Notamacropus eugenii: one gene and its partner. The protein of the gene in region 1 binds, or shares a complex with, the protein of each later gene. Links are inferred from orthologs where the notes say so. Each region holds a gene or a part of one and is shown on either strand. Other genes may lie near its edges.

The links.
Region 2: RRN3 (region 1) and TAF1A share a complex: the UniProt entries of both Homo sapiens proteins name them as parts of the pol I pre-initiation complex. The link is inferred for Notamacropus eugenii from reciprocal best matches to the Homo sapiens genes RRN3 and TAF1A.

Annotation. Positions count from the first base shown.
Region 1 is NC_092872.1:95,690,660-95,694,406, forward strand, and holds the start of RRN3 (RNA polymerase I-specific transcription initiation factor RRN3), read left to right. Parts: upstream 1-1,274; 5' UTR 1,275-1,321; coding exon 1,322-1,428; intron 1,429-3,747. UniProt on the Homo sapiens protein: Required for efficient transcription initiation by RNA polymerase I (Pol I). Required for the formation of the competent pre-initiation complex (PIC).
Region 2 is NC_092873.1:414,094,310-414,098,056, forward strand, and holds the start of TAF1A (TATA box-binding protein-associated factor RNA polymerase I subunit A), read left to right. Parts: upstream 1-1,556; 5' UTR 1,557-1,778; coding exon 1,779-1,929; intron 1,930-3,288; coding exon 3,289-3,411; intron 3,412-3,747. UniProt on the Homo sapiens protein: Component of the transcription factor SL1/TIF-IB complex, which is involved in the assembly of the PIC (pre-initiation complex) during RNA polymerase I-dependent transcription.

The DNA of each region.
Region 1 (3,747 bases):
CGCTCATAGGACTCCAGAATGCTATTGTGGGAAAACAGGAAGCAAGTTTTATTTCCATACTTTGATGGGGGGTTGTGACAGGCTAGAGGTCAGAAACTAATGTGCAGGCCCAAGGGGCTGTGTGAGGAATACCCTATCAGAGGAGAACATGAAGTCACACGGCCAGCGGACCATATGGAAGGAAATCCAAAGTTCAGAATTCTATAAGGGTCCTGACTCATCATGACCTGATCGAAGTCTTTCCGGGAGCCATGCTGGAAGCTACCCCTTCCTTCCTAAAAGGAACTTAGGCCTTCCCTATTCTGAACTCCATTTTTAATAGATTTTGATACCTTTTTCGTGTGTCAAGTTTGTCTCTAACACTATGGAGCACAAAAATTATAAATAACTGAGGTTGGGACCCTTTCAGTTGGTGTCTTTATCCCCAAATAATGTCATTCTCCCTCAAACGCCCCAGTTCAGGACAATCCTGATGGTGCCTCACGTTTCCACATCAGAACACAAGCAATGACACTTTTCTTATGGAAGATTAATTTTTTTGGTTCTTTTCAACGTTTGTTGATGCATTTTGTGTTTACCACTTTTATTTCCAAATGTACTCCTCCCTCGGCACTCTCTCTGCCACCCAGAAAAGCTGCCTTTTTGTTTACTGGCTCCATGTCCTGCTCCAAGGCCAAGCCTCAAACCCAATTCACTCTGGAGCTGACCGCTGGACAAGTGCCCACCCACCCGGCACAGGGGGTATGATAACTAAATAGGAATCGTTTCTCTTTCCCCTAGGAAGCCCCAGGGGCTTCCCCTCCCAGTCTGATTATTATTAGTAAAGTGGCCATCCCTTGAGTAACTTAAAGAAGCCTCTTCTCGGAATGGGGGCTTCTCACCCAAAGGGAGAGGGCAGGGTCTCCCACCGCCTCCCGGGCCACCTCAGGCCACTGGGCCCACATGGCTCCGGAGGAGAAGGGGAGGCTGGGGCCCTCGCGCAGCCCTCCCTCACTCAAATCAGTCACCTGCAAGTCACGCCGTCATCGTGACGTCACGGTCCTCTTCGAGACCCAAGGACAAACACAAGAACCCGCCCACCCAGACAGGGAAGCCCCGGCGCCGCTCCGCCCCGCCCCGCCGCAAGGGAGCGCCAAGCCGAGGCCAAGCCGACGCTCTAGCCCCAAAGAAAGATCGCCCTCTCTCCCAGGCGCTCCCTCGTAGCTCCTCAGACTGGCTGGGAGCATGTGGAAGGGGAGGAGTTTAGCGAGTCAAGTTCCGGTTCGGGCCGCTATGAGCCAGCATCACTTCCGGGGCAAACTCCTCTCGCTCAGCTGTTCCTATGGCGGCCCCGTTGCTCCACACGCGGCTGCCCGGAGACGGGGCCGCGGCCGCTGTAGCGCCAGCCCCGGGCTCCGCTGTCACGTCTCCGGGGGCTTCGAGGACCGGGTAAGTGGCTGGGGCCCACCATCTTTCCCGCCTGGAGGTGAGGGGTGACCCTCTCCTCGATCGGGGGCGTCAGATGGGTGGCAGAGAGGTCCGCGTAGGATGCGGGGCGTGGGGGCCTGGAGTTGGGGGCTGGCCCGCAGGCTTCGGCCTGAGCGCCCCCTCCCCGGAGCGTCCCCCCCTGCCGCGGCGCGGGGAGGACGTCGGGGCCTTCCCCAGCCCCTAACGCGCGGGTTCGCGGCTTCTCTTGTGACCGGGCCTGGTGACACGGCCCGCCGCGCCTCCGCTGGAAAGGCCGGCGATCCCTCTGGAATCACAAGGGCCCGCTGTGTCCCGTCACTGCGCTGGGGATGCGGAGATGGAAATGAAATAGTCCGGCTTCCCCCGACGAACTAGAGTCTCCCTGGGGAGACCGCGTATTCAAGTGTACACACATGCGTATGTACGTGTGTTAAGCGGTGTAAAGGGATTACTTCCTCTGCGATGTTTTCTATAGGTAGTGTTTCAGCTTAGCATGAAAATGGAAACTCTTTTTAAGTCTGTATGTGCCGTGCCATAGTATTTAATAGAATGGTGAGGCTGGCTGGTGAGGGGCGGGTCCTGGACTCCTAGGCTCAAATCCAGCCTCAGACACTTTCTAGCCGACCCTGGGCAAGTTACTGAACCCTGTTTGCTTCAGTTTCCTCATCTGTCAGATGAGCTGGAGAAGGACAGGGCAAACCACTCGAATATCTTTGCCCAGAAAATCCCAATGGAGTCACAAAGAGTAGGACATGACAGAACAAGAAGTGTTTAACATGCGCAATGTTGAAGCTCATGATGTTCTGTAATGGAACTTAGTGTTTGAACAGTTGCCACAGAAACTGTCATACTAGTTATTAATTAAATCATACCTCATCTATAAAATATGTGTATATCCTTGTATATGTTGTCCCCCCTAGGGAGATTCTAAACTTGTTTACGTTTGTGTATTCACATGTGTGTGTATTCATGTACATATGATACATACTTGTGATTTAATCCTTATAGATAACTTCCCAGATGAGAAATTCAGTGCTTGGCACAGTTCCTGGAACATAGTAAGGGCATAATAAATATTGATTGATTGTAATTTTCCCTCCACTTATGCAGGTTGGCACTTTTTCTACAATTCAAAATCTTGGAGAGTTGCCTAGAGGTTAAGTGATTTGCAAAGGGTCACACAATGTTTCAGAGGCAGTACTGGAACCCAAGTCTTCAGCATCCAAAGCTGGCTCTCTCTTTGTTCACTATGCCACATTACTTCTCATGTATACCCATATCCCACTTTTGAGGGGAGAGGAGGGAAGGGCAAGGTTAGTGGTTGTGTTGGGGGGCAATCATGAAAAAACTTCTGGTAGAAAGTGGCTCTTGATCTGAGTTTTGAAGGAAACTAGGGATTCTGAGAGTCATGGGTGTGAAAGGAATGAATTTCAGATATAATGGACAGCTTGTATGAAGGCACTGAATATTACATGAGGAACAGCTATAAAAAATAACCAGAAGTCCTGTTAGGTTAGACTGTAAAGTATGGAGAGGGGAATAATGTAGTAAGTCTGGAAAGGTAATTTGGGTCCATGTTGTGAGGGGTTTTAAATACTAAACTGATATTTGTATTTGACTAGAGGTAAAAGTAATAAGATAATGAAGTTTTTGAGTAGGGAGGTGGCATGGTCAGACGCAACTATACTTTAGGAAAATCACTTTGGCACTTTTATGGGGGCCAGTATATGTTACAGGAGGAGATAGACTTGAGGCAGGGAGACCAATTGAGTGGATATTGCAATAGTCCAAGCAAGAGGTGATGAACTAGAGGTGGTACCTTGTGAGTAAATTGACAAGGCTTAGGAAGGATAGGGAAAGAAATTTCATTAGTATAGGGAAACTCAGGTGAGGAAATTCCCTCTGCCAATGCAGTCTGCCCTCTCCTTGCATCTAAAGAGTTAAGTTCCTTTAGAGCCATGAGAGGTTAACTGACTTGCCCAGGATCACAGCCAGTATGTTTCAGAGGTGGGACCAGAACACAGGTCTTCCAGCTTCAGGGTTCTCTCTCTCTATTCTACTATAAGAGTTTCTTCAAATCACTTGCCAGTGCTTCAGTGTATCAGCCGCTTACTAAATTGTATAAGCTCCTTGAGACTGTGACTTTGTATCCTCTTGGATCCTTATTGTCTTCAGCGCTAAGGATGTTGAAGAAAATGTTAATTGAATTTGAATGACTGCCTAGATGTTTTCTGCACAGAAAATACAACAAGCTTTCTTTTTCTTCAAAAGAATGCATTCCTTAATAAAAGAAATAAATTT
Region 2 (3,747 bases), on another chromosome or scaffold:
GATGGCTAATGAGCTATTTATTCCTAGTTCGACTTTGTGAAATGAAGCAGAATGGTCTAATTTCTCCTCCATTTGAAGGGCTGCACCCTATTTCAGAGCAGGCTCGTCTCTGGGCTGGGCGCCTCGAAACCTAAGACGGGCGAAATGTGCTTCTGTCTGCTCGCCTCCTGCCCAGCCTGGCTGGCTTCTCAAGTCACGTACTTGTGATCAGGGGACGCTCAGTGTCCTGCCAAGGCTGGAAGGGGAGAATTCCTTTTTTAAGGTTCAAGGCAAAGTAAAAGCATCCATTAGGAATATGTTGGCACGGGCATAATCATAACTATGCACAGTTAAACACTGTTTAACAGTGATTCCCGTCTCCCGCTTTCTTCTTCTTCTGCCCAAAACAGGAGTGGAGCGCTCGGACAGACGAGGACAGCCTAAGCCTTTCTGGCAGGACAGCTCCAACCCTCGGTCCTCGTGCTTCCTCTGCGCATCAACAGCTGCGCGCAAAGCCAAGCTGGCAAGTTCATCAAGAGTCAAAGGTCAGGGGTCATCAGCGGCCAGGCACTCAAGTGTCACCCTAAACCCCTCATTCTCCGGATCTGAGACCACAGTGACGGGAAAACCTATTCCGGGAATGCGGGATCCTCAGACGCCGGAAGCGGGGGAGGCGAGAGGCGCCGAAAAGGGGGGGGGGGGTCAAAGGAAGTGACGCAAGCGCTCTCTATAAGGCAACACGCGAGCGCATGCGCCGTCGGATCGTGCTCCGCTGTGCGTTTCACTGCATGCTCCCGGGCTGTCTGAACTTCCGCGGGGTTTCCTCTGGGTCCTAAGGAGAGGTGGAAAGAGGCCAGAGCCGAGCTCCGGTAAGTGTCAGAATGAGAATTCACAGATTCAGGAGCCGCTAACGGTGACTGGGCCTAGTCTCGGACGTCCCCTTACGTCTGGGCCCGCTTATTTATTTTTTTAGTAATGGCTCGGCCTTGTTGCCTTGGGAACTCGAGCCCCTGCCCTCTCCCTTCCCTCGCTTCCTTTCCCTCCTCTACCCCCGGGGAGGCGAGGCTTGGTTGCCATGGTAACCGCGTAACTGGGAGGGCAGACCGGAGGCGGGGAGGTGGCCTAGGACCCTCTGCTCGTCGCTCCGGCTGAGGAGGGGCGGTAATTGGTGAGGTCACGGCCGTCGTCTGTTAAGTCTCGTCCCAATTACGAAACCTCTGTGATGGAGGTCCTAAACTTTACGAAGCTAGTGATCAAAGCCCTGCGGTGGCGATGAAGATGATGATGGCGATGATGGGGATGGAGAAGGACTTCTACGGGGGTTTATAAAGTAACTTCCTCCTAACCTCACGACCCCTAGCAAGCGCCTACTACACCCAGCGTGTGCCCAGCGCTGGGCAGGGGGCAGTTCCCGCCCCCAAGGAGCTCGCAGTCTAATTGAGGGGACACCCTGCGGACAGATCCATGCAAAGACAGCTGTATACTAGGTAAACAGGAAATAGCGAGCCGAGGGAAAGCCCTGCAACCCAGAGGGTGGGGGAAGGCTTCCTGTAGGAGGCGGGATTTTTAGTTGGGACCAGCCGGGGAGGTCAGTGGTCAGAGCCGAGGAGGAAGAGCGGTCCAGACTCGGGGGTCAGTTTGAGAAAGTGCCTGGAGCCAGGAGAAGCGGAGGTGCCCAGCGTTTTTGTGTGCCCTGCTGGGAATTACGCAGCTCCGTGGTGAAGTGTCAGGGCAGGGATGACAAAAAGGAGGCTTTAAAGATCCGTGGGGCTTGCGAGGGCCATGCCGTAGGCTGTCTGATGATGCCCTCACAACCACCTTGGAAGCAGGGGCTGCGGCGGACTGATCCTGACTCAGGTTCTGCAGACCTCCAGCTCAGGGCTCTGCCCACGGTGTCACTTAGCTCCACGCGGACGTGCGAGTCCGGCGCTTGTCCTGTGCTTTTAGAGAGTGAGTTATGGTGTATGTAGTGAGAGCTGTCCTTGGGCCAAGGCTGACATGTAGTGACTGTATGACCCTGGTCAAGTCACTTATCCACTTGGTGCTGTAGACAACTCTGAGTTATAGAAGAGGCCCTGACCCACCTTGGTGGGAGGAGTTTTCTCATAGGAGTTCCCCCTGTCAGTGAAGTGACAGGTCCTGTCCCTGGTGCTCCTTGTGTGTTATTTCATTTGGGCAGACAATATGACTTACCACATTTAAAAAAAGAAGCTGAAGTGCCTAAAGATTAAGCCTTTGAAAATGAGGAAGCTGAGTTGATTTCTAAAGGTTCATCCACCTCTAACATTCCATGAACCTCTGTTATATTATATAATACTTTGTGGTGTACTCAGATTATTTCTTGTCTGTTTTTCTTCAACTAAATTGTTCTGTCATTCTTAATGAATTCTAAGCTCCTCTTATATAACAAAATATTAAGTAATTGTCTACAGTAGAAATCTCAAATACTCCCAACCAGATTAAGAAGTAATTGAAAACTATTTAGCAAAATAAATATACATAGAACATAGATAATGTTAATATGTGGTTTCTTAAGTTAATATGCAGCTTCAGGGATCCTTATTATTTAGAATTTAGTGGACTCTGTTTCTGTTTGGGATTGATACCATTGTTCTACACATCAAACCACTAATTAGAAAATTGTGATTCTTTTTACACTTTATCCTATCTCTGATCACTTGTTAAAGCAGGCTGGTAGAATCAGTAGTGTCTTGTCACAGATTTAACAGTGAGAGGACTTGAGTAGACTGTATGAGAAAACTGAGGCCCAGAGGGCATGTGTCACATAATTACTAATCAAAGGAAATTTCACCAAGTCCAGTCCTCTGTTAATATCTGTTAACTTGAGCAAAACCATGACTGATTTACATTGTTAAAACCTATAAAACTTGTATTAAGATCTTAGATTTGAAGCTTGAAGGAACCTTAGAGATCATGCCAATTGAGGCAGACACTGATAAGTGACTTGTCCAGGGTCACACAGTTAGGAATTGTCTGAGGCCAGATTTGAACTCAGGAAGATGAGTCTTCCTGACTCCATGCCCAGGCCTGACTCCAGGGACTCTATCTGCTGTGCCACCTAGGTGCCTATATACTGAAAGTGCTTAATAAATGTCTTTTTAAATTGATTTATATGGATGTTACCTTCTGGTCCATTTCAGTTACTACTGACAGCTCAATTTTGTTTTAAACTAAAGGAAATTCCAGGCACATTGAAGTGCATGCTATATTTGTTAGTTTTTTAAAAATGCTTTTTGAGCTATAGATTTATGTGCAGAATTTGTAAATATTCTTTTTCATTTGGAGTAGATATGGATACTTTCAGTGATGAACTAACGAGTCCTGGGGAAGAGGATGATCAAGTAGAAGCATCAGTAGGCGCTGGTCCAGAAATACATTTACCTTGGCGTTTACAGCACATCCAGAGTATAGGTAAGTGGAGCTGAACTATGGGAATAATATACACAATATGAAAAACAGATATAGGAATTTGGGCTTCCTGATTGTTTGGATTCTAGATAAATAAGAGTTACCATATCATGAGGATTTCTTTATAAATCTTATTCTTTCACTGAAAGTGGGCCTCATATACTCTTAGGGTTCTAGGGAAGTATGTTTCCCTAGTATAGGGTTATGAGCTATATACTATATGCAGTTATCCTTTCCACATTGAGAAGTAGGGGGTTAGGGGTGCAGCACCCCTGTAATCTGGAAAATCTACTTAAAATGTTTTGGCCCTCTCTTCGTACCAGAGAAGAGGTCTGATTA